Linked DNA regions of Oreochromis niloticus. The main gene of each other region encodes a partner of the protein of the gene in region 2 in a complex. Links are inferred from orthologs where the notes say so. Each region holds a gene or a part of one and is shown on either strand. Other genes may lie near its edges. The genes, in order: upf2, upf3b, rbm8a and eif4a3.

The links.
Region 1: the proteins of upf3b (region 2) and upf2 are in contact, whole or in part, in a crystal structure (PDB 7NWU), measured with the Homo sapiens proteins. The link is inferred for Oreochromis niloticus from reciprocal best matches to the Homo sapiens genes UPF3B and UPF2. Residues at the interface, in NP_542199.1 of Homo sapiens: Lys52, Arg56, Arg57, Tyr79, Glu81, Phe83, Asn85, Asp86, Thr87, Ser88, Leu89, Tyr90, His92, Tyr94, Arg96, Tyr98, Ile130, Glu132, Pro135, Phe136, Lys138, Ala139, Ala140, Arg147, Asp148, Lys150, Val151, Gly152, Thr153, Ile154; in NP_056357.1 of Homo sapiens: Lys767, Arg768, Pro769, Pro770, Leu771, Glu773, Tyr774, Lys777, Lys790, Arg793, Gln794, Arg796, Lys797, Leu798, Pro799, Trp800, Gln801, Cys811, Ile814, Asn815, Trp817, Tyr837, Gln838, Glu839, Asp840, Ile843, His844, Val846, Asp847, Gly848.
Region 3: upf3b (region 2) and rbm8a share a complex: the UniProt entries of both Homo sapiens proteins name them as parts of the mRNA splicing-dependent exon junction complex. The link is inferred for Oreochromis niloticus from reciprocal best matches to the Homo sapiens genes UPF3B and RBM8A.
Region 4: upf3b (region 2) and eif4a3 share a complex: the UniProt entries of both Homo sapiens proteins name them as parts of the mRNA splicing-dependent exon junction complex. The link is inferred for Oreochromis niloticus from reciprocal best matches to the Homo sapiens genes UPF3B and EIF4A3.

The regions. Positions count from the first base shown.
Region 1 is NC_031981.2:19,589,680-19,597,459, reverse strand, and holds the start of upf2 (regulator of nonsense transcripts 2), read left to right. Parts: upstream 1-4,731; 5' UTR 4,732-4,839; intron 4,840-6,850; 5' UTR 6,851-6,851; coding exon 6,852-7,219; intron 7,220-7,780. Other genes in the region: slc35e3 (solute carrier family 35 member E3), read left to right, coding at 160-244, 337-438. UniProt on the Homo sapiens protein: Involved in nonsense-mediated decay (NMD) of mRNAs containing premature stop codons by associating with the nuclear exon junction complex (EJC).
Region 2 is NC_031966.2:18,505,964-18,513,753, reverse strand, and holds the start of upf3b (regulator of nonsense transcripts 3B), read left to right. Parts: upstream 1-4,593; 5' UTR 4,594-4,910; coding exon 4,911-5,021; intron 5,022-5,229; coding exon 5,230-5,336; intron 5,337-5,422; coding exon 5,423-5,529; intron 5,530-5,623; coding exon 5,624-5,722; intron 5,723-5,914; coding exon 5,915-6,025; intron 6,026-6,107; coding exon 6,108-6,151; intron 6,152-6,226; coding exon 6,227-6,415; intron 6,416-6,497; coding exon 6,498-6,655; intron 6,656-7,790. Other genes in the region: nkap (NF-kappa-B-activating protein), read left to right, coding at 376-550; ndufa1 (NADH dehydrogenase [ubiquinone] 1 alpha subcomplex subunit 1), read right to left, coding at 2,413-2,433, 3,559-3,648, 3,731-3,832. UniProt on the Homo sapiens protein: Involved in nonsense-mediated decay (NMD) of mRNAs containing premature stop codons by associating with the nuclear exon junction complex (EJC) and serving as link between the EJC core and NMD machinery.
Region 3 is NC_031976.2:34,767,220-34,774,513, forward strand, and holds the start of rbm8a (RNA-binding protein 8A), read left to right. Parts: upstream 1-4,203; 5' UTR 4,204-4,268; coding exon 4,269-4,335; intron 4,336-4,843; coding exon 4,844-4,903; intron 4,904-4,996; coding exon 4,997-5,074; intron 5,075-5,878; coding exon 5,879-6,015; intron 6,016-7,294.
Region 4 is NC_031971.2:41,936,572-41,944,676, reverse strand, and holds the start of eif4a3 (eukaryotic initiation factor 4A-III), read right to left. Parts: upstream 3,071-8,105; 5' UTR 2,937-3,070; coding exon 2,783-2,936; intron 1-2,782. UniProt on the Homo sapiens protein: ATP-dependent RNA helicase. Involved in pre-mRNA splicing as component of the spliceosome. Core component of the splicing-dependent multiprotein exon junction complex (EJC) deposited at splice junctions on mRNAs.

The DNA.
Region 1 (7,780 bases), on a different chromosome or scaffold from region 2:
CTGTAATCTTACAAAAATACAATTAAACATCTTGAAGAGGTCTTCAGAGACTTCTGGAAGAGTTGTGGTCTTTTCAGGATAGTGCTGCCTCAAGGTCCTCCTGGTACAAATATTTCAGATGACATTCATAAATGTTGTTATCCTGATTCTAGTTCACAGCTATAACATGTTTGGTCATTTTAAATTCTGCATCACACTGGTTGGTGGATACCTGCTCTTCCATGACCCACTGTCACTCAACCAGGTGAGTCTTCCTGTGCTGCTCTGATGAGTCAAACCAGGCAGTTTTCAAGTGTTTTCGTCAAACCTTCTGCTCTCTTCCCGTCTCTCACTCAGGCGTTGGGGATCCTCTGTACTCTGGCAGGTATCCTGTCTTACACTCACTTCAAGCTGATGGAGCAGGAAGAAGGGAAGAGCCGGCTGGCCCAAAGACCCTAGGCCATCTTAACATGTTGGTCTGCTGCACAGACTCCTGCTATTGGCTATCCACAGAGAGACCAGCTAGAGATACCTCTTTATATATTTTTACCATTTTTATTACAGTTATTTTTTTAGAAGAGAAGGGATTTCATCGTGGATCGTGTCAGATTTAAACGTATATGGCATGTTAACACTGCTGTTCATACTACTTCCACTGAGCTTCAGCAGCACTGATCCAAAGTCTTAAAGAAACCTGAAGCTCATCACAAAGGCAGCTTCTCAAGTGTTAACTCGCTCTCATCACGCAGCTTTAACATAGATGGATGGAGGTGAGGTTTAAACCAACCAATCAATCAAAAGAAGGCTGCAGTTGGGCTCTGTGAAAGATCCTTCAGGACACCAAACCTTCATCTGTTGCTGGAGGCTGAAAAAAAATATTGCAGTGATATTAGAAAAATTGCATCATCATCTGCTGTTTTTCTGATTTTTGGTACTCAGTGCAGACATGAAGGCAGAAGACACTGATGGGAATCCATCAGCAATCTGGCTGGATTTGTTTAAACAAGTTTACATAATAAATACTTCTGTCAGGTCCCACCTGTTATCCATCAACCACTGGAAGAAACCAGTTTGCTTTGAAGTGAAATTTGAAGGATTTTCTTATTAAATCATTTCAGTGACTTACAGATCATGAACACATAGAAACTCAGACACTGTTGGGGCTACAGCAGTTTTCCAAAGAAGTGAGTGGCAGAAGCTTTTCTGTTATCAGCCTTTCTGTATAAGTGATTTCCATAGACTGATCAAAATGAATTTGATTGCTAGTCAAAAGCCAGTAACTTACATGTGGTATGAAGTGATAAATGAGGTTCAATATTGAATAAAAAGTTACTAAATAACTTCTCCATAAACTGTTCTAAAATTTGTGGAAGACTTTATAATCAGGCAGAAATGGGTTAAAGTGAAATGGTTTATAAAATGATGGTTTCTTCCATTTCTGAGTCTCTGGCTCGTATTACTGAGCAGAAAAGTGACTCGTTGCAGTTCTGCAGGGCTGAGTTTGCTGTGTAAAATTTTTGTGGATTTTCTTTGCAAAAGTTATTTGTTTGGCCCTTCAAATCAGACACTGACCTGAATAATTCATTAATCTGTTGGGGGATTTTGTTGTTGTTTAGAGTCTGCGATAGGTCTAGTTTTATTTCAGATTTAGCCACATTCATTGCTGATGTAACTTTTTTAAATTAGTATTTTTTGATAAAATTTTCTTAGCTTGTGTAGCTGTTATTTAGTGACATATTGCATTATTTGGGTTTTTTTTTTTGCAGTCTGATCCTTTGTCTTGACCGTGTTGATGGTACAGGTGGGATTTTGGGGACGTGGCTCAGCAAAGCATGATGATCTGCTATTGTGGATTACAAATCTGGAGAAATGCTCAGTTACTCAAAGAATTGTTGAAATAAAACTTTAATCTTCTGCATCTACAGTGATTTCTTCTTCATGACACTTTGTGATGTACAGCAGCTTCTGAACATGTAGTCCTCAATCTGACATCCTCGTGGTGAGCACGCTCAGTAGCGCTTTCTTGTTTATATTTCACTGTATTAAGCAAATTCAGCCTGCTGAATAAAAACGAATTAAGTGGCAGTTTGGATTGTTTGAGGGTACACAAGTATCTAGATGTGGTGCTCCTGAAAAAAACAAAAAAACACCATCCGTTAGTCTTTATGATCTTGTTTACTTGCTATCATAAATATGCTATTAAAATGACTTCTTGTAATAAACATGGCCAGTCTGAGCCAAATCTTCTGACATGCAGTTTTATCTACTCTTCACTTTGTATTAAGCAAGAAGGAACATCGCATAAACGGACATCTTGTGCACAGAAGCTCCACGCACCTGCTGTTCAAACCTGTTTATTGGAGGCAGCCAATGAGAAGAGAGTTGGTTTAAAGGGAGAGGATGAACTGAGTTTGAGCTTTACAGCTTTACAGCAGTAGCTTTGCATGACTGTAAAATATGGAACTGGAAGAATGGTTTAAACACCCACTTTAGGAAGGGCAGCATTTTCATCGTTGCTCGCCCAGACATGACATCGTAGAGGAGCACACTGTTGTCATCTGTAATAAGCATGTTATAATATAACCACACCTAAGTGGAGTTCTCCTGTGAACGGCCTCACTGTGGAGCGTCCCTGGGTTTCCCCTTAGATGCGTGTGTGCCTCATTCATACCCTGCCAATAAAGCTGCAATTGTAACACACACACACACACAGCAAGGCTGTGCCAGGAGGGAATTTCAGATGAATGAACAAGTGGAAAGAGTGTGTGTTTAAATAAATCTCTACTCTCTGAGGAATGAGCGAAACCCGAGAGCTGTTATTAAACTGCATACTGCGGGCATCCTACTGCTACCACTGTGGGTATGTGTAGAAGGTATTCATAAGTGTTATTTTTGGGGAGAGAGGACTGAAATGCAGGCTCTGGGAGGCTGAATAAAACAAGGAAAAGTTAGCTTTAAAAGCTGATGAAATACATACTGCTAAAATCAAAAGAGGAATCAGAGACTTGTGAAAAGTACAATGAGAGAAAATGGAAAAGAGGGAAAGGCAGAACTAGAGCCACAGCTGAATAGTTCATTTCTCTTGGGAAAGTTTCTAAGTGAAGTGTCCCTGAAGCGCAGCCACAATAAGAGCTGTCTGAATTCTGTGAATACTTAGGAAAAGTGCTTCAGTGCTTCCTTTACGACCTCGTTTAATATTTTCTAAAAACAAAGGAGATCATGTGGTCCCACAATTCACAGCAAACCACCATTCAAATGTCATGAAAGACAATCAGCAACTGACAGCTGATAGAATCTACAAATATTCAAAAATATGTTTTTAATCTCTAAACTTTAGGCTGCTTCTTCTCCATCTTCTTAATCTACTTCCCACCTCTGCACACATCCAAACAATCTCAGCCTTTGTCTTCTGTCAACCACTCAACCTGAAATGTCCCCACTGGTCACTCCAAATGAAAATCTCAACATCTTCAGCTGTGTTACTAGCCTTTCTGTCTTGTTGTATCTGCAACCATCTTCTAAACCATACATCCATTCTCTTCTGCTTATCTGGTTGAGGGTTGCTACCATAGGACGGGAGTCAGTCTGTCTCAGTGCTAACACAGACAGCCAGTCACATCCACTCCACCCTGTCTTCTTCCCTCCTTCGTGCACTGTCGGTTGCTTTGAATGGTTGACCTCAAGTATTTAAACTCATCCACCTTCGCTGCCTCTACTCATTGCATGTTCACCTTTCCACCTGTCTTCCTCTCATTCACACACATGTACACACACACCTTCATCTTTTGGTAGTCTGTCTACACACCTGCATCAACAACATGCAATGTTACATTATTAAGGAGGCTTTGGTAAGTGCAACTGGATCCTCTGAAGTCCTTATGAATTCCCCTTTGCACATTTCCTTGAATTCATAATTTCTTCCATTAAGATCAAGATAAACTGATTAGGAAAAGGGGGTAGTAGGTCAAAATATATGCAGAGGACTGATTGGTAAAGAAGACACAGATATGAACAGCTAAACCTGGATAGACCGAATATAGCGAAAAGAACAAAGCATGAAGTAAAAAAAAAAAAAAAAAAAAACATTTAAGAGATTTAAGAAAATTAACTTCCAGAACAAAACAGGAAGTAACTGAAAGATGAAAGTAAAGATGAAACTGTAAAGATGAAAGTCCATAATAACACCTCTACTTGCTTCTTGAAAACCTGCGGTACCCATGTTGAGTCATATCAGGGCACTAAACAGCCATTATCAACTGTAACCTCTTCACAGATATAACTAATACCTACTCACAGCCCAGGATGTGTGTTGATTAGTGATTAACTGAAAGAAGACAGTGGAATAATCACCCACAGGTTACCTAAAGCTTCAGTTGATGCACCTGTTAACTAGTGGTGAAAAACTATAAATAGGAAAAACAGTTAAAATTGCAGAGAGAGTATAATTATTTCTCCAGGAGGACTCTTTTGTCCTTCACAGTTTCTGTTATCAATGCATGGCATTAAAAACCTGGCAAAAGAAAATACTTTTGAGGAAAAACGATTAGGGTAAAAATTATATCTATATCTATCTATATATATATAGTCTGACCTGTTAGCAGTCTGGAATGCTGCCTGTTGGGGAGACAACAATTTTAATATATAATATAATAACATTCGCTTCTTTAAAGATTAAATTGTTAAGGCAATCGTTTAGAAAGCTCAGAATAAAAATGCTCTCATGTACCGGAGAAAATGTAAGGTAACTTATATATTTTTTTAATCAGGCATAATTTGGAACTCCAAAACGAGAGGGTCCTGATGCTGTTCACCCGGAAATCAGCACGGATGAACCGATGTTTGTTTTGCTACGGCTAACAGGTAACCCCGCTCATCTTTACATATTATTTAGAAGAAACTGGGCTTCTCTAAACAGGGAGTGCTTGCTGTATGTTTGTGTAAATTTGCGTTTTAATTACTGTCTGTCAGTTTTGCGCTGTCTAAGCGTTTGTTTGCGGCTGTTTTCGCTAAGTCCATTTGAGCTAAACCCGCTAGCTGTGCTAACGCTAGCTCTGTTTTGTTGTAAATTTGTTTGTTCATTTAAAAACGTCGCAGCGTCTGCTGGGCGCTGTGAACGCGGCTTTCTCCTTGTCTTTTAAAGTGAAGCTTCTGCTGAGCTGTTCACACGGAGGAAGCTGACGCAGGTGTAGCGGAGGCTCGGCGGATAACAGGCGGAGTCTGCGTGGGCGGCTGTCACGCTGATTTTAACGTTACAAGTTCAACCCCAAAAGGTTGATTTTGTTGAACGTAGCGTTTACAGTGGAAGAACGTTACACGTTTAACGTTAATCTCTTCTTTTTAAACACGTGCACGAACCAAACAGCGTTTACACGCGCGGACAGGTGTCAGCTTTAAGGAGCTTCTCGCCTGATTTACCTGCTCACCTGCAGGGCCCGTTCAGCCGTGTTTACGTGGAGTTTCTGTCTGAGTGTTTGATTAAACTGAATTATTTTTAATTTTAGGCCCTTATGACATCTCACCACGATGACCCTTCCTCCATTTTGTGTCTGGAGACTTTAGACGTGACTTTTAGTTTATATCAATCCTGACTTTGTTTTAATGTCTCAGGTAAACAGGAAATCGTTGGGCTTACCTGTGCGGTTCGATCACAGCAGTACAATGATAGTCTGTGTCTATGTTTAATTTGAGTTAATTACTTTTGATTTGTTTCAAAAGATCTTCAAAATGAATTACTATAGATGTATCTGTCTGCCCCACAAATTTTTATAAATATTTTGTTATGTCTTTTCATGGGACAACGTTGAAGATATGACACTTTGAACGGATTTATTTTTCCAAGTGGACCATTATGGCTTTGCCATAGTCCACTTGATTATTATTTATTTATTTTATTTTATTTTTAACTTTTAAGTTTTTAGAAACAGAACAGACATGACTTTTCATGTTGTTTCATGAAAAGATATAATAAAATATTTACAAAAATGTGAGGGGTGTACTTGTGAGATACTGTACATTGTTGCCTCACTTAGTTAACTGTTACTGTGTACCTGCAGCCCCGCCCACAGTGAGAGTCCAGAGGGGTGTACTCTGAAGTGAGATGAATGGTTTAGTGAGCTGTCTTAAGATTCAAATCAGAGGTTTCAGTGTCTCTCTTTTTAGCTGGCTAAATCACCATGGTAACTGATGCTGAACACATCACTGTGTTGGGAGCAGGTTGTTATCAGAGTTTCAATTTAAAATGCAAATGCAATATTTTCATGTATTCTCTTATTTACAGTATGTTATGAGAGCTCTATTATCTGCAGATACATGTTATATGTGCAGCTTGTTACCTCACTAACATCAGGAATGAAACTCAGCTGTAAAGTACAGCACTGTATGTCACATTGTCAGTGGAATGTGCGTGTAAAACTATAAATGTTTTTATACTTTAATGTATTTTTCGGTGTAAATGTAACTTGGACCCATATAAGCTGAGTTTGTTTGATCGTTAATGGTTGGTTTGTTGATTTGAGGATTTTGGTGTGTTGTGCTTGGTGTGCAGCTGTGTGTGATAAGTGTCAGGACCTGAAGTTTCCCAGGAGAATGTCAACAAGTATTCAAATGAGTTATTCCCATTTCATTGGATTCATAAGGTTAAACAAGGTCCGACAACAAGTTCCATACCCTCCTGAGGGTTTTTTCTTAAATTGGATGGCCTAATAGAGTCAAAGGAAATCAGAACATTTAATAATAAAGCTGATAATTAATATTTCAATTTTAATAAGAGGCTGATTGAAATATTTTCAAAGAAGCACAGATGGTTGTATGATTATTTAACTTATACAGCAGCATCTGTTGTCATTAAGCTTTTCTTGTTGTCCTTCCTCAGTATGCCTGCTGAACGCAAGCGCTCAGTAAACATGGATGAGAAAGATGTTTGCACCTTCAGCAACAAGGAAAAGGAGAAGGACAGGGAGGCTGACAGGAGGCCAGGATCTGCCCGGGACAAGGCCAAAGACGAGGCCAAAATGACCGGCAAAAAAGACGGTGGCAAGGAGGAGAAGAGGAAGCGGCTAGAGGAGGAAAAGAAAAAGAAGGAGGAGAAGGAGCGGAAGAAGAAAGAGGAGGAAAAACTGAAGGCAGAGGAGGAACAGAAGAAGAAGGAAGAGGAGGAGAAGAGGCAGCAGGAGGAGCAGGAGAGGAAGCTCAAAGAGGAGGAAGCCAAAAGACAACGTGAGGAGGAGGCTGCCCTCCTCAAGTAAGTCATCGTGATTGTTAAATTCTGACTTAATAGCGATTTTAGCAATGTTTAAAATGCCATTTAGATCAATGCTACCGCTTACTTAATCTTAGCCACATTTATTGGAGGAAGGCGTGAACACATCAATGTTAACAAATCTGCCAAGCGCAGGGCTGTGATCTTGCTCCATATCATGTAGAAGAACAACATTATCGTCAAAATCCAGCACAAATTTTGGTCAGTAGTTATGCTGAGGCTCATTAGTATATAAGCATAATAAGAGTGGGGAAGGCATACAAAGACTTGTTTTAAAGTCTGTAGAATAATACACTGCACTAAAGTTCACAATAAAATGAAGATTTGGCGACATAAGAGCTGATAAAATGGCGATTTGACCTACAACTTTATCCCAAGATGAATCTCTGTAGTTTTTACTAATTTAGCATTAATAAATTTGAAGATAAACTTTGATAAAAACATTTTGAATTCAAAGATGATCTTTAATGAGGTTCTAATTTACTAGAAATACAAAACCTCTCCACATCAGTGCTTCATCTGCTTGTGCAGTTTAATCTATTG
Region 2 (7,790 bases):
GCATTACTACATTAATACACGCAGATTTCCGTAAAAAGGCGGTTCTTGATTTAGTAGTTTTAATGAGGCACACTTTAACAACAACATATAAAATGTGTTCTCCCAGCAGAGGCTCTATATGGTGAGTTAAAACATGGGTTAAGTAAAGGAATCAGTGAAAATGTGGCATTTCCAGTTGATTTTAAACCAAACCTCAAAACATATATGTGCAGCAAAAGTTACCAAATGCTTCAAAATGTTGTTTAATTTCTTTACTAATCTCTGCACATTGTAACATTTGCTTTAGCTTGTGCTCTAGGCTGGATTGAGTTGAGCAGATCCAGGAGCGTGTTCAGCTTTTCTTCCCGTAATATTGACAAATTTTTCGCCCCGCAGACATCGTCGTATGGAGGCTGTGCGTCTGAGAAAGGAAAACCAGATCTACAGCGCAGACGAAAAGAGAGCCCTGGCATCGTTCAACCAGGAGGAGAGGAGAAAGAGAGAGAGCAAGATCCTGTCGAGCTTCAGGGAGATGGTGTACAGGAAAACCAAAGGCAAGGAGGAGAAGTGAACGACCAGTTTCTGTCTCCTGTTATTGGAACCTTTACTTGTTGTTTAGTGACATGAGGCGTAAAGCTTTTTTTTTTCTCTCTCAGTTTGAATCGAGTGTACAGTGCAGGAGTGTTTTAACTGTAAAAATGTGTCTGAGAAGTATTCAGTTGTATTCTCCTTCCCTTTTTTATCCGTCTCTTGTAAATGTTTTCAAATGCTCCCAACCAGAATGTTAAATAAATTTTCACTATCATATCTTGTTGCCATTTTATTATTTCTTTCTGTTCTTGCCGGGAGTTCTACTATAAGTGATAAATGCATCAAGAGTAGAAAACCATTTAGAAAAAAAGAGCAGTTTGTAGTATTATTGTTTTAAAGTGCAGGACCTCATCTGAGTGAAACACTTAAATAAAGGCTTTTTTTTTAAACTAAATAACTGATCATTTTTTGTGACGAGTTAATTGTAGCATATTTAAGAAAACTTGGCAAAAAATTTACCATCAAACTCTGAATATTAAAAATAAATCTGCCAGTGTTTTTGAGCAAATATCTGAGCAAATAGCTACTTAAGAACAGGAACCACATGAAAATTTCAGTACTGAAAAAAAGTTCAAGCTGTCTTTAAAAGTGCCGCCAAATTAATTTTACCACCATTTCAAGTCCACAGTCTAAAGCAAAAGTCTACTTTGTTCCAAGCATGTTTTGTTTTGTTTTTTTCATTTCAAAATAATATATATTTGTAGTGGTAAAATCTGTGACATCACAGACAAGTCTCTGCCTCAGAAAATACACATAGTATCAATATTGCAGTTTATCACTGGATATGGTACAGGTCAAATAAATGTAAAAACAATGGCCGACTTTTGGAAAGGTGAGGTGGAAATTTTGTTCATATTGATTTTTTTGGGCATGTTTGCCTTTAGTGGAAAGAAAGAAAAGTGAGGAGGGACACTGCACTCTGACCATGTGACATGTGATCACCTGCTCACTCATTGACCTAAAGTGGTGCCCATACTTGACTGGTTTTTAGCCACAGTGACCCCCAAATATCTTTAGCAATTGTTTCAGCTTCTTTATAGTGAATCAGTGGCCACAGTGTGCATTTACTTCAGCTGTTTATAAACCTTTATTTATTTACAAGTTGAAAGTCTTATGACTTTTAAGATGTTTTTCACTGGCGTGAGAAAGAAATTTCTATAAATTGCTAATACAGAACTATTGTTTTTTTTCTTACAGGAGTTTTTTGAATTCTTTACTTTTTACAGCATTTCAATTAGTGCTTTTTTAAATGAACATTTTTGTAAGAAACAAAATATTTTTTTCCTGCATTTGCTGTTTTTTTTATTAGTTAATATCACCTGAGCATCCACCACAGGTTGCCTGTGACGGTGGTTTGAAAGAAACACTGAGAAAACATTGACATCATGTTTCCACAACTTGGATTAAACCTAATCCCAGACTGAAAGAAATTAATGAACTGCACTGAAAAAAAAAAAATGTATGGACTAATCACGTCTTTTAGTTTTTGTCAATAGTTGTTTTTTGAAGCTACTTGGAACAATAGAGTTAGTTACAGTTAACGTGATGCTGCAGGAAGGCGTATTACAGCTAAATGGTAACAGCAGGTACTGTGAGACATCTCAAGTCCAGTAAACCTGTCAACATGTAAGCAGATGTAATAAAATAAAATAGTAACTACACTCCTTCTCTCTTCTGTTACTGGTAGAAATCAATATAAGAAGCCTCACAAGATTCCCAGTGTGTGGAAGAGTTTAATCACCCATCTTAAAAGACTGAAAAACACAAACAGCTGAATGTTAAATATAATCTTTTAATGTACAACAAAGAACTTTCTTCTCTTGGGTCTCTCCGGGTTCCTCGTCAGTGAATGTTCTCAAGTCCCTGGTGAGGAAAAGCGAAATAAATAAGGATTAAAAGTAGTTATACATGAGCAGCCATTGTGTTCAGTTAAGCTAAAAACACATTTTATGGACTTTAGGTCTCCTTTTATGCTCTACACAAGACTAACACCGCCATCGGTGTTACCTGATGACCGAGAACAAGGAAGACCACCGTGTGGTACTTACTATATAAAAGGCTAAAGCATGGCATTGGGTTATTTAGCATAGAGCATGTTGGGATGATCACTTTGCATAATTATATAGTTTAGGTTAAAGTATCATTATAGGACACGTTTCGATAAAAATTATTTTGTAATGAAGTTATAGCCATTTGAAAATGCACCAATCCAGAGAACTATTTAAGCTACGTCATTCAATTTTTTAGGCCAAATATCTGTTGTCTTGACTTCAGGAATATGGAATTTCTAAAGTGTTGTTGAAGTTAAACATCACATTCTGAGAAACCCAATTAGCTTGAAAATTTGATTGCATTACAAATATTTGAAAGTTTTTAGATGAACAGTTTCAAAGATAGAGGGTTCAAATTTGTAACACAGATTCCCATAAAACTACTCCAATCAGATGAATGATCTTAAAGATACTACAGCTTAAGGAAAAGGAAAAAAGAAATCATTTCGATATCCCCCCCCCCCAAAAAAAATGGCATGCTGGTGTGCTGAGACAAGTCCAAGGGAGGCAAAACAATAATGAGTGATATTCAAATGCACTGTGTTTGTACACATAAAAGGATCTGATTGATGGCGTGGAGGTAGTACAGATGCACCCCAGATAGTGCAAATGTGCTACCAAGAATGCCTTTATAATTAAAAGAATATACACAGATGAGTCACATGATATACAGTGTTTTTTTTTTTTTCTGTGAATGTGGACATTGGTGTGCCTCCATGAAATGCCTGACTGAAACAAAACTAGGGTTTTGAAAGTGCACCGTATTTGCACATACTGCTTTTTCTGAAACTGTGCACACTACTGTCGAGCAGTTTAAGCGACTTTTGTATTTATATGTAGTTGTAGTCTCAGAGAAAGGCTGTAAAGTAGTTCCAAGTTGGACACTTTGTTATTCATTAGCATTACTTTTAGTTATTATGGGCAGAAGGAAGCTAACCTTGGAGTCAAAGTGGCGTCCGGTTCCTGACACTCGCTTATCTCTGTCCATGAGATACCACTGCCACGGAACCCGAGCAATCCTTTTCTCCTGCGGGGGAAAAACACACTCTTTATAATCCAGCAGTCTGGTACACAACACGAGAACCTACTGGCAGCGCCTGCGTCCTCACCTTTCCTCCGTTAGTGAACTTGTGGATCTGCGCGGTGGCGACACCGGGAATGATCAGACACACGGCCATGACGCCGAGTCCGGGCAGAATTTCATACCACATGATTACAGCGTTTAACTGTCAGGGGACAAAGAGCAACTTCGAGGACAACAAAGTTGCCCCAAAACCTACCTAACGCTGTTTATTTATCCCAGAAAGTAGCAAAATGTCGACCGTCAGGACGACCTACGTTCCTCTTCCAGGACAAGAGAAGAACTTCCTGTTGAAGATTTTCAAAATAAAACACTTCAATTCAACAATTCATTTTGATCGTAATTTTAAATCGATGATTAAATTATGCTTTTACAGTCAAAAGACGAAACCGATCGGACATGGATATGTGGGGAGGAAAAAAAAGTGTTAAAAATTCTATCATAATTCAAATTATATGTTAATTTTTTTAAATGGACACTTGTCACTGGAAAAAAAAACTTAAAAAACGTTTGTTTAGCTATCTATAGGTCAACGTTTCCCCTTTTCGTTATTATCTCAAAAATTTGAGTTTAGGGTTAGTCTCCTCCCCACCAAAAAATCGACTTACCAGCAAAGCGATCTCTGAAGAAGCATTTTGAATTATGGAAGGCAATTATTTTCAGTTAAGCAATCTTTATATATACATATATATATATATATATATATATATATATACATATATATATATATATATATATATATATATATATATATATATATATCCTGTTTATTTAATTTTCTTTCGTTCGTTTGTTTTGTTTTGTTTTTTGTCTGGAAATCGCCAAACATGACTTAAGTGTTTACACGACGAGTAAGCTTTTAATTTGAAGTGTAGCTGAAAGGCGGAAGCTCTTTTTGGCTCACGCTAGCACCATTTCTTTCTAATAGCAAATAAGAAACCATTCAGAATAATTCCTTTCATGGACAAACTAATTAAGACTATAAATAAAACAAAATAAAATATATTCTAGTTATTAAATTAATTGCCTAGGCACGATTGAGTTCATGTACAGCGCCCCACTCCGGCGCTGATACTAAACGCAGCGCTAACCGTCAGTGAGGAAGTTCCAGTTAGTTCGTTCACTAGCAGAGGCTAACTCGCTGAAAGGTAAACAAGTCAGCTGAATGAGATGAGACCCAAGTCCAGGATTAAGTAAAGTTTTCTGCAATGAAGGAAGACAAAGAAAACACTCGACCGAAGGAGAAAAGGGTGGAGATAAAGTATGAAGATGGAGAGAAGACGGAGAAGTCCAAGGAAAAGAAGGAGGCCATGACAAAGGTAAAACTTGCTAGCTGCGTTAGCTCATGTTGCTATGAACCGCCAGGTTTATAAAATTGCACTATTTTTCATGTTGTAGTGTTTCATCATGTTTCACGTGTATAATGATAGAATGCACGTGAACTTAAGAAATCTGTTTATCAGCCCCAACTTTGTTCTCCAGATAATAACTTCACCTATGATTTTTTTTTTTTTTTTTATTAAATAGATTGTGATCAGACGACTACCACCAAGTCTCACCAAAGAGGAGCTGGAGGAGCAACTGCAACCGCTCCCAGAGGTGGACTATTTGGAGTTCTTCTCTAACGACACGAGGTGAGTTTATCTGTAAAGATTCCCTCACTGTTAACAAAAGATAAATATACTCGTATATGTATGACACAGGTGTTTTCCTCTTTTAGCCTTTACCCTCACCTCTTTGCAAGGGCTTACATCAACTTCAAAAACCAAGAGGATATAGTGCTCTTCAGAGATCGCTTTGATGGATATGTATTCATTGACAACAGAGGTATAAAACAGGGAAGAAGTTACTAAACAGATTTAAAGATTTCTGTAGGAAGGACCCGAAGTTTCATCTTTTTCCACATGATGTTTACGAACAGGTCAGGAGTATCCTGCCATTGTGGAATTTGCACCTTTTCAAAAAACTGCCAAGAAAAGAAGTAAAAAAAAGGATGCAAAGTGTGGAACAATTGTCGAAGGTAAATATATTTACCCTTTGATAAATACAATTCATATATTGTAACGCAGTATGTCAGAAAATAAGGAAAAGCATTATAGGTCTGCTTTAAGTGCAATTTAGGAACACTTATAAAGACATATAAAGATACAGAAAAAGCAGTCTTGCTATAATCATTAATGTGTTTATTTGTGTTTCATTTGATTCTTTTAAGATCCAGATTACAAAAAGTTCCTTGAATATTACAACGGGGACGACGAGAAGCTAACGTCCACACCTGAGACCCTGTTGGAGGAGATTGAAGCTAAATCAAAGGAACTCGTTGGTATGTTTAGCAGTCAAATACTGGTAGTTTTCAAACAAACGCACTGCACAATGAATAATTTTTATCATTTCCTTTGTTCAAGCAAAAAAAACAACTCCTCTGCTGGACTTCCTGAAGAATAAACAGGTAAATAAGTTCAGGTCGAGATGTGTATACATTGCTGGAGGCTGGCCTCACACATTTTGTTTTAATGTTCTACAGAGACTCAGGGAGGAGAAGAAAGAAGAGCGAAGAAGGAGGGAACTCGAGCGCAAACGTCTGCGTGATGAGGAGCGTCGTAAGTGGAGGGAGGAGGAGAGGAGGAAACGCAAAGAGGCAGAGAAGATGAAGAAGCTCGAGAAACCGCAGGAGAAGGACAAGGACCAAGCTAAAGACGAGCCAAAGATAAAGGTGTGTGCAGTAGTTGAAAGAAGCAGTTCGAAACTGTGTCCAACTCTCAGTACTTAATGTGTGTTTATTTTTACTGTTGTAGCTCCTGAAGAAGCCAGAGAGAAGAGATGAAGGTGAACCGGAGAAGCCAAAAGAGAAGTCCAAGAAACCAGAGAAGCCAAATAGAGAGGACAGATCTTTGGGAGGTTCTGATCATAAGAGACGTCAGAACATCGAGCACAAGGAGGATCGAGGAAGGAAGTTAGTTCTTCACTCTTCTTTTAATTGTCCAAATACATTCACCCTCAAGTGAACAAGCTATTTTAGGTTGATCCCATTATAATTAATACCAGAATACTTTATTTTTAATGGGTCTGTTTATGCTTATCATAACCATACCATTTCCTTTATCTATCATAGATACTGTTTTAATCATTTTGAGGTTTAGCATCACATTTCCTACACTACTAGTAGATTAATGGGTTAGTCAAGATCCATGGTGTCTCTTGAGCCTTCTACTGTACATACTGCTTACACGCGATTGCTCCTCAAAATATCCAGGCATTCATGTGATGAAATTTATAGATGGCACAATCGTCATTGGTCTGATCTCCAGCAATGTACGGTAGACAGGTGGAAGAATTTGTTGGCAGGTGTGATGCAAACAATGTGTGCATCAGTGTGGGGAATACGAAAGGGATTGTGGTGGACTTTAGGAGGAGAGATCACAGGTTTCATTCCTGGAGAAACTTGAGCTTGTGGCTCTGGTTCTGCGTATGTCCAGTAACCTTACATGAACCACAAATGTGGTCAGTATTATCAGAACGCTCACAAAGAGCTGTTTCGTTTGTTTTGTTTTGTTTTTCTTTATGAAGAAGCTGAAGCAGACTGGCCTTGGTGCAGCTGTGCTGACTTCTTTATTGTGTGCTGGAGAGCATCTTGACATACTGTATAATTGTTTGGTATGGCAACTGCTCTGGGGGCAATAAAAACACACTGTAAAGATTTGATAAATCTGCCTGAAAAGTGACTTGTAGCAGCTCTCCTTCTTTAGAGGACATTTATATTAACCGTTTACCGCCCTCCCCTCAGGCAGAGGACTGCATAGCTTCACAGCCTGTACGATAATCCTAAAGTGCAGCTGCTTCTGTAAAGCTATGATTCTCATGAACTCGGTGCCATAATTTGTCCTCTGCACTTTATCAGCTTGTGTTTTTATTATGCGATTTTTAGATTAAAATAATTACTGTCTGTTCTATTTATTAATATTTTAATGCTGGCCTGAGAAACACATTTAATTCTTGCACATTTAAAAAAAAAACACACACACATTACATTTACATTTTTACAAAGGTGCCTTTTTTTTTTTTTTTTTTTTTTTTTTTTTTTTTTGGTC
Region 3 (7,294 bases), on a different chromosome or scaffold from region 2:
GTGTGTGTGTGTGTGTGTGTGTGTAAAACAATAAAAACAAAAACAAGCAAAAACAAACCTTCCAAACATGCTGTCACTGTGGCTGCGTCCTTCTTTGATATACAGTCTGTGGTTTTGGGTAGAAACTGTCATGTGACTTGTGGGTCTATTTTAGTAGAAAGTCAACATTCTTACATGAAACTGCTTAGCATTTTTCTATATTTAAGTAACATATTTTTGAAAAGCGACTATACGCTGGGCTTTTCAGATATATGTTTGTGGCACTCTAACCAACACATGGTGAGTGTCATTTCACTCTGTTATACTCACGAGAAGGCACACATCTCTGCAGACCAGTCAAAAACCAGGTAAGTCACATCAAAACAATCAAGATGGGGACATGTATCACCACCTACAAAAGAGAAAAAAACCCACAGTTCCTTTAATCTTGCTGAATAAATCTTTGGACTGTTAAAATTATTTGTGAAGTGTTATCTTTTTCTTTAAACCCATTGTGCTCCCTTTTTCACCCTTTATTGTTACAGCAGCAGGCAAGGTTGGACATTGTGTGTCTGTAGTGTCACTATGGCAACCTGCATATCTGTCTGTCTTTGTACCTCCTGATATTGCACTGCACCCCTTTGAGCATAATAAAGTGATTACAAAGAAACGTTCATATCTGTAGCATGTAAAAACTGTCTTTGTGATGTTTGCTTGTGTTAAGTCTGATGTGTTGTAGTGCCCAAAATGCTTTGGGTGTTATTTTTTTCTTTCAAAACACATTTGCACTGTGAGAAACTGGAACAAAGTCAGCTGAAGTCAAAATAAGTGGTGATCTGGACAACTGGAACTGGACAAATGCAGCTTATTGCACAGAGGATTTGCCTTTAATGTTAATACAGAGGTAGTTTGCACAAGATTTGATGTTTGATTTTAAGCTGGACTTTTTTGCAAGAATGTCTGTTTCTCACACTCAATTTAATGTCATTACATGTACATTAAAACTTATAGATCACAGTGAAATTATACTTTTTTTTCAGCAATTTTCACAGTTTGCAAAGCCGTCCAACAGGCCAGACCAGACCCTTCGGTAAGCCTGCGCAGCACATGTTGACACCCCTGTTCTACACAATATTCACATTAGTGTACTTAAATGAATCCACCATCTGGCAGATCTTACAAATACTTTGATTCCCCTCTAAGAACTACACTGGACTAGCTATAAAAACTCGAATGCCCTAAATCATATTCAATTCAATTCAATTCCATTTTATTTATATAGCGCCAAATCACAACAAAAGTCACCTCAAGGTGCTTCATAGGTACAGACAAAAACTCAACAATCATATGACCCCCTATGAGCAAGCACTTTGGTGACAGTGGGAAGGAAAAACTCCATTTTAACAGGAAGAAACCTCCGGCAGAACCAGGCTCAGGGAGGGGAGGCCATCTGCTGCGACCGGTTGGTATCCAAAAGGAGTCGCTCCCTGCTGGCCCTTAGACACAGTGCAGGTTAAAGGCACTTCCACACTTACTTTTATATACAATATATGCTTACTATGGGGCTTGGAAGGGTGGCTGTAGCTCCGGAAGTAGGGCAGGTCAGTCTGCATGTCAACTATCCTTGGCCAAGATACAAGAAAGCGTAGAATAAAAGGGCTTGAATGAATGAGGCATGTTGTATAAAGTGCTTGGAGTGCTGTGCAAGAATAGAAACGCACTATATAAGGGTCAGTACATTTACTAAAGATGTTTATCAGAACTACTTTCATCTTTCTACTATTTTGCTTTTACCCTTTAACCAGATTACACATTGCTTGAAGTCATTTCTCTACCGACACTTGATTTCAGTTCACAGTAAGAATAGCTCTCAGTATACCAGAATGACACCAGAATACAAGCATGAACAGCTTTTATATGACTTTCAAACACATGGGTCAAAAGCGTGAGTGGATTCATGACTGCCCTCTGTTGGTCTTGTAATGTATTTTTTACAAAAACCAAAACTCAAACAAAGATATTCTAGTTGTTTAAAGTAAAATTCAACAAACTCAACACATAAATCCTCAAAAAAAACAACAACCAAAAAACGGCCTAAAATATGGATGAAGATAAAAAAAAAATGCTGCTCTTTTCACCTTCGCCTTATCTTATGTTGTAATTTATGACAGGGAACAGCAATTCCCTGTAAACTAGGTAAGATTACATATGATACAGAAGTCATATTAGAGCCAGTTCACACTAGTAAGTGTAATATAAGCAGACACTATTATGAGTGAAAATACACACATTCATCTCCTGTTTCCAGGTCATACAGTGAAATTAGAATAGCAATTGAAAATGAGTCTGTGTATACTTATGTCAAAGCATAAGAGTAACTCAGACATAATGGGATGTGTTATCGGAAATCACAGCATCTCTGTAATAGAGATTGAATGAGCATGAATTTTTGAAGATGTGAGTCATAAACCTCAGGCACACTGTCTCGCTGTGGATTTTAAGCACGATTAGATGACAGTGTAATAAACACAGGAAATGTCTTGATGCATTCTCAATCATCCAGGAAAGTAAATCTCCAAAAGTTGAATCTGTTCATCTGGACGTAGCGTTTTGTGGGAGAAACGTTTCGTCACTCATCCAAGTGACTTCTTCAGTGTCAGCTGACTGCAGGTTTCCCCAAACCTTATAAACAGTACATTTGCATAATGACTGAAACCAGCCCACTGAAGGAACAATGGGCTGTGAGGACCTCACAGCCCACTGAAGGAAGGACCTCACAGCCCACTGAAGGAACAATGGGCTGACAGCCCATTGTTCCTTCAGCTGACACTGAAGAAGTCACTTGGATGAGTGACGAAACGTTTCTCCCACAAAACGCTACGTCCAGATGAACAGATTCAACTTTTGGAGAAACACAGGAAATGTTTAAATTCAGGATGAGAGAACAAATAAACGACACTGTTTTCCCTGAAATGTGACATGTTTAATAAGTCTTCAGATTACAGTTGACGGCAAGTGAGTGAATGTTTCTAATCATCTCACCAGAATATAAATGAAGACAATTTAACACTGAATACAAAGTTTTCTACAAAACCCTAATGTACTCTGCAACAAATCATTGGAAATGGCAAGAAAACCCCATGATATATGTAAAGAGTGTCTATGTCATGTCCCATTGTTTGCCTTGCTAAAATCAAAGTATTTGAAAATATTTTTTAAAAACATTGTGTTTGTTTTGCATGTACAGACTATATGTAATTATTATCTACAGTTCTCAAAGAAATTAAGTAAAAAAAAAATGAAATACTGATGATCACGATCTAAATCAAATGGACAAAAATGGCTTTGTAAAGTTATTTCAAAATGTGCACCTTAAAAGTATTTAATATTATATACCACGTGTGCTGAAATATTAGCTGCAGTGTTATATGTTTATTTTAACTAAATCATACACTCCACTTGCAATGGAAGTGAGTGGAGTTGGGTGGGGTCCTCGTAGATGAATCAGGTTTCTTCTACTATCACTGCAATTTTTGCACATTGCCTCACAGCACATTGCTGCAGTTGTATTTGAGTCTTTGGGGCTCTGGTGGTCCCAAGAAGTAAGAAGCCTGGAGAACTTTTCCTGAAGACTATTTACACAAATGACAAGAAAGGTGCCCAAGAGAGTTCAACTGAATAAAGGTGGTTACACCAAACACTGCCTTTCAAGCTTGTTAGAATTGTATAAACTTGTTTTTGTGTGTGTACTGTATTTCCATGTATGTTTGCGTCATTGGTTTGCACATGTTTCAATAAACCATTGCACCAGTTTTTTTATTTTCCAAACAAAATATAGAGAAATGACAAGTTGCACAGTGCTGTAAGTGCAGGTATCTTAAAGCTACACCATTAAAAACCTAACTGTGCCTGTTTGTGTAAATTGATTTGAGCCATTTTACTTTCTGTGATAAAAATAATAGTGCCTCTGTCAGTGCGCTCCAGGGCGGCTGTGGCTACAATGTAGCTTGCCGTCACCAATGTGTGAATGTGTGTGTGAATGGGTGGATGACTGAATGTAGTGTAAAGCGCCTTGGGGTCCTTAGGGACTAAGTAAAGCGCTATACAAATACAGGCCATTTACCATTTACCTTTAAAAAAATATATATATATATTATTTTCATTTGTATTTGTGTATTTTATTTAATATATTGACTTTTATTTTATACAAACTGGCAACTTCCGCCTACCTCTCAGCGCTTTTTGCGTACGTACGTTACGTTGGTCAGACGCATACACACAGAGACATCATGGCGGACGTGCTGGACCTTCATGAAGCGGGAGGCGAGGACTTTCCTATGGATGAGGATGGTGATGGTAATCATATTATGTTCACTGTTAGTGGAAAATACTTTACTGTCCCCGCGTTCAAATGATGTGTAATTATTGAGGTCCGAATCGCAGCCGCCATGTTCGTAAACGGAACAAAAGCTAGACTGCGTGGTGGCAGGCCCGATCAATGCTAACATGCTAATGCGAGTTAGCGCCGTATAGTTGATTTATTCAGTCGCTCCGTACAAGTTAGCGAGGCTACGGACATAGAGGTCTTTAAAGTTCACCTGTTTCTTTTTGAAGGGGAAATTTACTTGGCCGGTAACTTAACTCTCATTGTGAGGGTTGTTAGCAGCTGCTAACACGCTAATTCGCGGTTAGTGCAGCTAACGGGTAATTGTTTTTGCGGCTCAAACTGGGGGGAGCGGGCATGTTAAACATGTTCCTAGTCAGCTGAATTAAATTGGCGAATTTTGTTCGTTGATAACTTGTAGTCAAGAGAGCATTGCAGCGACGTGCGCTGGCTTTGACTTGTTCATCTTTCATTCATTAGAGAGCATCCACAAGCTGAAAGAGAAAGCCAAGAAGAGGAAAGGAAGAGGCTTCGGTTCAGGTGAGTGACCCCTGGTGTGATGGCGATATTTTACATAGCCTCTCTTACTTTAGCTATGCAGTACAGTAAGTGTTTCTTTGTCGATATTTCCAGAGGAGGGAGCCCGGTCCAGAACCAAAGAGGACTATGATACTGTGGAACAAGATGGGGATGAGCCAGGCCCTCAGAGATGTGAGTAAAGAAACGGTTTAACAAAGGATTATGTCACGAACTTGAAACGGCAGGCTGTGGCTTTGCTGTGATATAGCAGAAAGTACCAGTGGTTTTCTGGGTAATCTTACATCATTTGCTGTTGATGTGATAATCACTACTGGGTAGAACATGTTAGAACTTATTTAAATACATGTTCTTAATTGTCATTGTCTTAATACTTAAGCACAAAAATAATTTGTGTGTTTGTCCTCATTACAATTGTGTGGTGCAATTTCTCATAATTGTCAATTTATAAACCTTTCACTACAGCACCACAGGCTGTGTTACAGAGTAATGCAAAAGTAAAATGATGAAATAACTTGTGATTAGTAAAGTAATGCATTACTTTTCTAAAAGTAACCGGTAAGACAATGCTGCTGCTTTTTTGAGTTACAACTCCAATGCTTGTAATGATAAGTTTGGTCAATAGTATAAAGTCCAAGCTACATGTGTGAATAGAAATCTCAGAGTTAATCAACAGCAAAAGAAGGATTACGCTGGTACCATTAAAATCCATTCAGATTTACAAAAAAGCAGACTTGCTTCCAAAAAAGTGTCACTTCTGTTATTTATTGACTTAATATCAAAGCAAAGCTTTTTATTTTACATTAAATGCTTTATTGCAACGTAGCACCTTTGGCATCACACTGTCAACAACTAGTTTTTATTTATGACTCAAATACAGCGCTTTTTTTTTGTTTGTTTGTTTTTTGTCTTTTTTAAGCTGATACACTTGAAAGTGGTACTTGATTCATTACATGCTGATTCCTTTCCTTGCTGCAGCTGTGGAGGGCTGGATCCTCTTTGTGACGGGTGTACATGAGGAGGCCACAGAGGAGGACATCCATGACAAGTTTTCAGAGTTTGGAGAAATCAAAAACCTCCATCTCAACCTTGATCGCAGAACAGGTTACCTTAAGGTAAAAAAATACAACAACAAAAACCACATACTATTATTGTGTGGGTTTTTTGTGTGCGTGCGTGAGCTGATAACCCTGGCTTAGTACAGGTTCGCTGTCTGGTGATACCTGATTCTAGCCCGCTACTTGGAGTTGAACCTCAGTGTGGTTTGCAGCTATACTTTGAGGAATGGGAGGCGTGGGGTTGTTCCGTAGATCTTTCAGACAGGCTGATTGTACACCCCAAACAACGCTTCTGTTAAACTGTTAAATTGGCTCTTTTTGTTTTGTTTGACTGGCTTTTACATCCAATTGTGTTTGAGTGGGGGAAAAAATGGCTTGTTGAAAACATTGCTTCATTCTGGGGTAAAGGTGGTTTGAGCCCAGACAGATCACTGTTGCCTTCCAGCTGCATACACAACACCTGGCTGCATAACATGTTTGTTTGACCCTTAATGATGACACCACGATGCCATCCATGAAGAATAAACTCAGAAGCCAGAGCCAAGACCATCCACCGAGTCACACTTTAACTGATTTCATACAAAGAGAAGTGCCAGTGTCAAGTTAGTTACCAAAAAAGTAACCAACATTTCTCTGACTTGTTCTAATTATCGCTAAACTAAACCCTAAATCCAAATATTTTTAATACTGCAAATGTCCTTAATTTCTGTAAAGGATTATGTTTTGGTTTAACAATCCCATACTGTTCCTCTGTTCATGTGAAAAATGGAATTATTGGTAACCTGCTTGCTGGTTTTCTGATCAGATTGTTCTCATTTTTAACATGTGATGTGGATCAAACTGGAAATTTTACACACGACGTCAAATTTTTACCAAAAGCACATTTCATTGTCCTTTTAGTGTTTTGTTGTTGTGCGCTGTCTGTTTTTTATGATCCCATAAGTCAGTTTAACAGTGGCTTGTGACACTATTTTATAGTTAGGTCAACTTAACCAAATTCAAATCAGGAATATACAGATATTACACATTTGTTTGTTTTTATTCCACACAAATGGTAAAGTAGAGCAAGTTTGTTTCTGCAGCCAAACTGAAACAACTGCATGAATGCAAAGGAACAGCTATTTGTAGAGTCCTCATCCCACCATTGTCATTGTATTTCAGCTGTGTATAACACTTATTCCATGCGGGAAAAACACTTGTGCAGAGGATGCATCTGATCATCTTTGATTATAGCTCCTTCAGCATGCCTCTTCTCTCTTTTCCAGTTGCATTTCAGGGATGCAGACATCCTTCAGTAAGGCGTGCTGAAATAAAATTTAGTGGGGGCACAGTCAAG
Region 4 (8,105 bases), on a different chromosome or scaffold from region 2:
CAGCCTTGGTGCAACAGACTGAAAGGCTCTGTCCCCTTTTGTCTTCAGTCGTGTACGGGGAACAACTAAGAGACTCTGAGTCTGTGAGCGGAGATGACGAGCAGCAGTGTATTTTATAAGAAGCTTGGATAAATAATCTGGGGCCTGGCCATTTAGTGCGCTATATGTTAAAACAAGAATTTTAAAGCAAATTCTAAACTCTATTGGGAGCCAATGTAGAGAATATAAGATGGGAGTGATGTGAACACGTTTGGTAGAACGAGTTAATAGTCTGGCTGCTGCGTTTTGTATCGCCTGGAGGTGATGATGATTTATCCAAGCTAGTAAACAGGGAATTACAGTAATCTAAGCATGATGACACAAATGCATGAATGAGTTTTTCCAGTTCAGCTGAAGAGACCATATGTCGCAGTTTAGATATGTTTCTTAAATGATAGAAACAGGAACGAGACAAAGATTTTACATGAGAGTCGAGGCCCAGAGAAGAGTCAAATATTACTCCAAGATTCCGAATATTTGACTTGACAGATGGACAGAAGGAGGCAAGAACCTGACTGATTTTAGAATGTAGCTCAGGAGGAGCTATGATCATGGTCTCGGTCTTGTTAGTGTTTAGAACGAGGTAGTTGCTTGAAAGCCACTCAGAAACCTGGGTTAAGCACTGGACTAGGGTGGACAGCCTATCCAGCTGATGAGGCTTAAAGGACATATGGAGCTGGATGTCATCAGCATAAAAATGATAAGACAGGTCGCTAAAAGATTGAATGATACCAGCTAAAGGAAGCATATAAAAAGAAAATAGTAATGGACCTAAAACTGAACCCTGTGGGACCCCACAGGTCAGGGCAGCAATGTCAGAGGTGAACCTGTCAGTCCTAACAGAAAAGGTCCTGTCTGATAAGTAGGAAGAAAACCAGTCTAGGGCTGTGCGATATGACCAAAATCTCATATTCCGATATAAGACATTATCGTTCCGATAACGATATAAATCACAAAAATTTAACATTTTCTGTAAATTCTGTGAATCTCGGGCAGCTCGACTTGCGTGAAGTGTTTCCAGCTGGGCGTCGTGTACCTGGAGTCGAGTGTTTTAACCGATGCATGAAACTATATATTTTTAGACATAAGTTGTAACGGCCGCCGTTTTCTTTGTGAGTATTTATTACACGGCGTGCTGCGGGGAAAAGTCTGTTCTAATGCTTGAGTCTAAGGTTTATTTTTTAGCAACTGATGGCTCTTTTTTGCTTCTCATCCACAAACACGCCGCATCCTCTTTCACGTGATTCAGTTTATTTTGAAAAGTCTCAACAGGATCTTGAGCTTTATTGTGAAAGGTTTATGTGGAAAATACACAAGTGGACACGCGATAGTTTTACCGTCGCTGTTGCTAATGACGACGTATAAAAACAGGCGCTTGTCCATCCGTAGTGTGGTTATATTAAATATAAGAGAAAGAGACAGGTTCTTCTCTACTGGGTTCATAAACACAATAAACACAATTTCACACCAGTAAAAACACCGCTTCATGAAAGATCCTGGTGATGCTGTTGTTTCACTGAGTTTATAATCAGCTGATAACAGCAATGGCAGTCCCTCTAACATCTACAGTTAGAGAAGATCCCGGCTCTACCACACCACCAGCACTTTGAAAATACTGAATTAAGTGACAGAAAAATCTAAAAGGTATTATAATTATTTTACTGAAAGTTTTTCTAATGAGTTTAAAAGATACATCCTTAAAGACTTAGCTGGATCAAATCACCAAAATATCAGAAAAATATATATTTCATATCCAGTCCTTCCTAAAAAAAAAAGAGCTCAGTTTTAACATTTTATATGAGTTTTACCCAACTAATGATTTTATTACACTGAGATTTAAAGTGGATGTTTTCTGTGATGGGCAGAGATTTGTGATGCCTGCCGGCCGGGGAATCAACTCAGTCAGTGCTAAACTGGAATTTTTATTAACAATTTAATGGAAAAAATTTTATTGACAGCTCTCAGAGAAATCAGAGCTGATCTCGAGCTGTTTGATAAGTCTCTGAAGGTTGTTCGAATTAGCCCATAAATCATTTCTATTACTTAAATATTTTAATTGACTCTGGACTACAAAAATAAAAAATAAAAATAAAAAATTTAATTGAACATGATCAACAGATGAATGCTTCTTTGTTTGTACACATGTTCAATAAAGTTTTTGTTTCCGACACAACTTCCCGTGTAGGTACTGAAAAAAGTACCTGGTACTACCATCTAATGGAAACCTTAGAAGGCACTAATAGAAAAAGGCTACGTTAGGCGGTGATACCTGGTACCAGGGTTTGTTTTTAGTACCTACACAGCCGGGGATCCAAGCGATCTGCTATAAAAGACAACAACGAGGAAACCAGCAGCACATAAACTAAATTAAATACAGTTACAGTCAGTTACTACATTACACTGAGCCACTGGACCAAGTCGGGTCACACACCGGGTCAGCAGTCACAGAGTCCGGTCTAACCCGATCTAAAGTCAGGTCTATCAGAACATCTGCTTCTCCGCCACTGAAAGTGCGCAGACACGTTAGCAGGTCGGGCTGATGCTAATCGGAGAGCTTCTGGAAAGAACTAAAAGCCGGATAGTCAGTCTAACGGCACCCCTCCGGATACGATGCCCCCGGGGTCGAACTGAGCACAGTGAAATCTCTTTAATTCGCCTACTCAACACACTGCGCCGACGTTAGCTTTACAGATGACTAGCTGAGCTAGCTTTCCCCCGGAGGCCGCGCCGAACCCCGGTTTACCGTAGGCGTAGATCCCGCGGAGAAGGTCCTCCCGGAGACCCATGGTGTCGAAGGTAGGGGTGACGTCCACCTCCTCGCTGGTCTCGAACTCCACCTTGGTCATATCTTCCTCCTTCAGGATCCTCTTCCTACCCTGAGCCCCGGTGGCAGCCATGTTCCTCGGAGCTTTTAATCCGTCTGAAAGTCGCAGATGTCCGGATTCACCAGTCCGCGCTTCGCCGCGCTGCTAAGCTAACTGCTAACGAGAGAAAGAAGCACGTGTCGCTACGCCGATGACGTCCGCAGCGGGCGACGAGGATTTGACGTCACACCAGGAAAAAATAACAAACTTCCGGGTTCTTTATCAGCGTACTCGGAGGCCGATTATACGACACAGAATAAAACGTAAACCTGATCGAATGATGAGAAACTGATCAATACGTGAATAAGAAAGTGTCTCAGTGTTCGATCAACCCGGGACAGAGAGACTTTTGAAAACAAGGAATAACATCCTATGCACAATAACCCGAACTATATATACAAAACACACTGTTTATTTACACCGGATTGTATATTTGTACATTTGTTTCCTTTTTTTCTGTTAATACTGTTCATATGAATATAGTGCTGCAGAACTGTGCCCCCCCCCCACACACACACACACACACACACATACATACACACATGTTCACTGAGTTGGAGATGCTCTGTATCTGTATCATTGTACAACTGTATAGTGACAATAAAGGCATTCTATTCCATTAAACTGGACCCTTTTTTTCTCTAACTTTATTTCAACAGAGACTTTAACAACAAGCACAACACACGGAGAGCATGTTGTACAACTGTAGTGCAAAATTCTAACACAGTGGAAGAGTATGTATAATTAAACACACAGGATAGAAATACAGATTAAACGGGGAAAGTGAGAGATACAGAGACGCTGAATAATTAACTTAAGACATTAAAATATTACAAATATTCATGTTTTTAAAGCTTTCTTGTTGTGAGAGGAACAAACTGTTCTGTTTCTGTCCTGAGAGTGGAGAGCTTACATTTATGGATGTGGAATTTGATTAATGAGGGAAAAGCATGAGAGTCTTTCTCACTAAAGTCAGTAAAACCAAATAACACGTTTTGGTAAAAACGTACAAATTCTGATAAGATGCTGTCAGAGATGAAACTAACGATATGTTTCATAAAACCTGAGCAAATGTAAATGTTTCTGTATCGCTCTTCTGTTTTTGAAGGATTTAAACTGGACCCTGAGACACACTGACAGGTGTGATGTCATCACGTCAGCCGCTACACTGGGCAGCCTGCAGGTGATGATGTAATCAAACATAAACAAACCACAAAAGTGTAAACTGACAGTTAATCTGGTAATCTAATATGAAAGCGGTCACCTGTGCGGCCAGGTGACAGGAAGGAGCTGAGGACTGACGCTGCTGTTGTATAAAATCACCAAATACTCCGATGATTTTCACCCCTTTAGAAACTTTGTTACTCTGTTGTTTAAATGAATTTCTTTTAAACAATGTTTTTTATTAAGAGTTTTTTCTTTATACATATAAACAAAAGGAGAAGAGAAGGATGGTTTGTACATTTGGGCTCATTAGTCCGTACACTTAAGGCCGTAAAATTTAGGGAGAAAAGGAAAAAGAAAAATAAAGAAAAAAAATACACACACACATATAAATGTGTAAAAACAAAGTGCTTCCCCAGATAACAAAGTCCCTGCAAAATAATCCCATTCATTCCCACCCAGGTCACTGTACACTGTATTTCCACACCTGACATGAGGGAGGTGCACACACTCATGCACCTGAAAAATTCTTATAGATTTGGAAATGCATCAAGGAAACGACCCCGCATGACACGACATGAGGTCATACAACCACTGTGTGTGTGAGTGGGAGGGGGTGAATGATAGCTCCTGTCTTTTAGAGGCACCTCATTCCCACTGATGCCAAACAGAGCAAGATGAGGGTCGGGGGCCAGCGTCACTCTGAGAATCCTGGACAGGGTATGAAAAACCTCTGTCCAGAACTGAAGGAGACTGGGACAAGACCACTACATGTGGATCAGTGAGGCTTCAGCAGTTTGGCATCTGTCACAATATGGAGCGATATCAGGAAAGACACGAGATAATCTGGATGTTTAAATAAAGTTTATTTGTTTGTGAGGTCACACTGAAGCAGCTTTATTAAAAGAACTACAACTGCTAAATTGGCCGACGTTTCCCACCTGCCTGCATCACAGGAGGCAAAAGTACAGATGTTCTGTACTTCTTCTACTGCAGTAGAAGTACATGGACTAGTGCTGAAAATACTACAGTAAAAGTTAAAGTACTGATTCAACTTCTTTACTCAAGTAGGAGGGAAAAGGTACCGTCACAGTGGGGGGTGTGTGTGGTTTGGTGGGGGGGTTCACAGCAGTCTCGGCTGGATTCCATCCTCCACACCGAATTATCTCATTGTTGCCTCGAAAAACCAAAAACGTACTTAAGGTGACTAAGTTAGGACAGAGTGTTCACTGAGTACTAAGAACTGGACTTTTCTGAGTGAGCAACACTAAATGTTTTTCCATTGACATTAACAAAGGTCTACAAAGTTCTAAATTAAAAAACAATTTATGGTAACTTACAATTTTTAATTTGGCTGACTGTAATAGGGCAGCCCTTAGCGGCTGGAAACACAGTGAGATGGACTAAGGCAAGTGCAGTGGAACAAAGTATTTATTTGCCATACAGCTCTCCTTACAACAATTCACTTCGAGCTTCTTCACAGCACAATATATCCTCCTCTAATGAGGACCAGCAGCCTTAAATATGTTCAGCTGTCACAGACCAAACCATTATTCCACTCTTAGGTAAATTCTTAAATCCCAACCTTCCACCACAGTATACAATATATGAATTAGAATAAATAAATACATAAATACAGTTCACATTTTCATATTAATAAATATTTCACACTTTAATTTTACACCAAACCCAATACTATAAAAACCCAGAAACCCAAGCACAAAAAGATTCACCATACTCTCTTTACCAATGGTCTCTCCCGGAACCATTAAATGGTGTCTGGACCCCCGGGGAAACATTTGCCCAAACACCCTGAAGAGGACACAGACAAGAAAGGTGAGTAATCATTGTCTTACAAACACTTATTTGCGCCACTTTCCTTCCTAGATTTCACACACACATTTGCATTAGTTTTCCTTACTGGTAAACCTTAATCATAATCTCAATCACCATTCTTCTCTCCTGACAGACAACCACCACATTCCTTGATGAGGAGCAGCTGTGCAGGATCTGAAACAAGGCTACCAACTGATTTTAAAATGCCCAATAAATAATCAATAAATATTTAAACTTCTTGTGTGCAAATGTTTTACTGTGCAAATCCATGCCTAAAGTGCAATACTAAATAAAGTGCTTGATAAGGTGCTTTTAATAAAGTGAAAAGTGTGCTCTAAAGTGCTATACAGAGAATATAATATAAACTAGAAAGCGAAAATTTCAGAAGAAATTTTATGTGTGCCTATGCCGCTGCTAATCACTGTAGTTTGCCATTCATACGGCTACAGAGAGCAAAACTCAGAAGAGCAGCCATTCTCCACCATGAACTATGGTAAAAACAAACACCGCTCACGCTTCACAGATGACAGCTTACAGTTTTGTGTAAAGATGAAGTTACTTCATACAGCGCCGATTTGCAGACGCTGTGCACACAGGTTCATGAGCAGAAGTCTCATTGTACCACGGCAGACCCGACAATGTTTGCATGAACATGCTTTGAAGCATTACGTTATGGACCACTTTTCACACATGGTTGGTGTACCCACACAGGCAGCTGTAGCTTTTCAACTCATAGCCCAACACACACCCAAAGAACAGCCAAGAGAGCACAGACTTTACACCCGTGGGTCCACCTCCCCTGCAGCGGCACTGCAGACCACGCCCCGACACACACATCAAACACATAAAATAAATATTTATGCACTTTCGCATTCACTTTTTGTTTTTTGTTATTTTTACACAGTGTTCTGAATGATGAACAATGGTCTACAGCCAATCTTGTGTATTATTATACAAACTTTGGTTGTAAGATTCAGATAAGTATTTAATAAAAGCTAAATATTTTATATGAGAGTAAGAAAGAAAAGTATATCTTTATGTCCACCTTTCTCTGTTAATGCCCTACCTGGCCCCCTGGCAAAAGCTTTGCTAGATCCGCCCCTGCACAGTTACCAGCTGTCAGCTACACAAAAAAAGGAGCTTGGTGTTTACAGGGAGTGCAGAATTATTAGGCAAATGAGTATTTTGTCCACATCATCCTCTTCATGCATGTTGTCTTACTCCAAGCTGTATAGGCTCGAAAGCCTACTACCAATTAAGCATATTAGGTGATGTGCATCTCTGTAATGAGAAGGGGTGTGGTCTAATGACATCAACACCCTATATCAGGTGTGCATAATTATTAGGCAACCTCCTTTCCTTTGGCAAAATGGGTCAAAAGAAGGACTTGACAGGCTCAGAAAAGTCAAAAATAGTGAGATATCTTGCAGAGGGATGCAGCAGTCTTAAAATTGCAAAGCTTCTGAAGCGTGATCATCGAACAATCAAGCGTTTCATTCAAAATAGTCAACAGGGTCGCAAGAAGCGTGTGGAAAAACCAAGGCGCAAAATAACTGCCCATGAACTGAGAAAAGTCAAGCGTGCAGCTGCCAAGATGCCACTTGCCACCAGTTTGGCCATATTTCAGAGCTGCAACATCACTGGAGTGCCCAAAAGCACAAGGTGTGCAATACTCAGAGACATGGCCAAGGTAAGAAAGGCTGAAAGACCACCACCACTGAACAAGACACACAAGCTGAAACGTCAAGACTGGGCCAAGAAATATCTCAAGACTGATTTTTCTAAGGTTTTATGGACTGATGAAATGAGAGTGAGTCTTGATGGGCCAGATGGATGGGCCCGTGGCTGGATTGGTAAAGGGCAGAGAGCTCCAGTCCGACTCAGACGCCAGCAAGGTGGAGGTGGAGTACTGGTTTGAGGTGGAGTACTGGTTTGGGCTGGTATCATCAAAGATGAGCTTGTGGGGCCTTTTCGGGTTGAGGATGGAGTCAAGCTCAACTCCCAGTCCTACTGCCAGTTTCTGGAAGACACCTTCTCCAAGCAGTGGTACAGGAAGAAGTCTGCATCCTTCAAGAAAAACATGATTTTCATGCAGGACAATGCTCCATCACACGCGTCCAAGTACTCCACAGCGTGGCTGGCAAGAAAGGGTATAAAAGAAGAAAAACTAATGACATGGCCTCCTTGTTCACCTGATCTGAA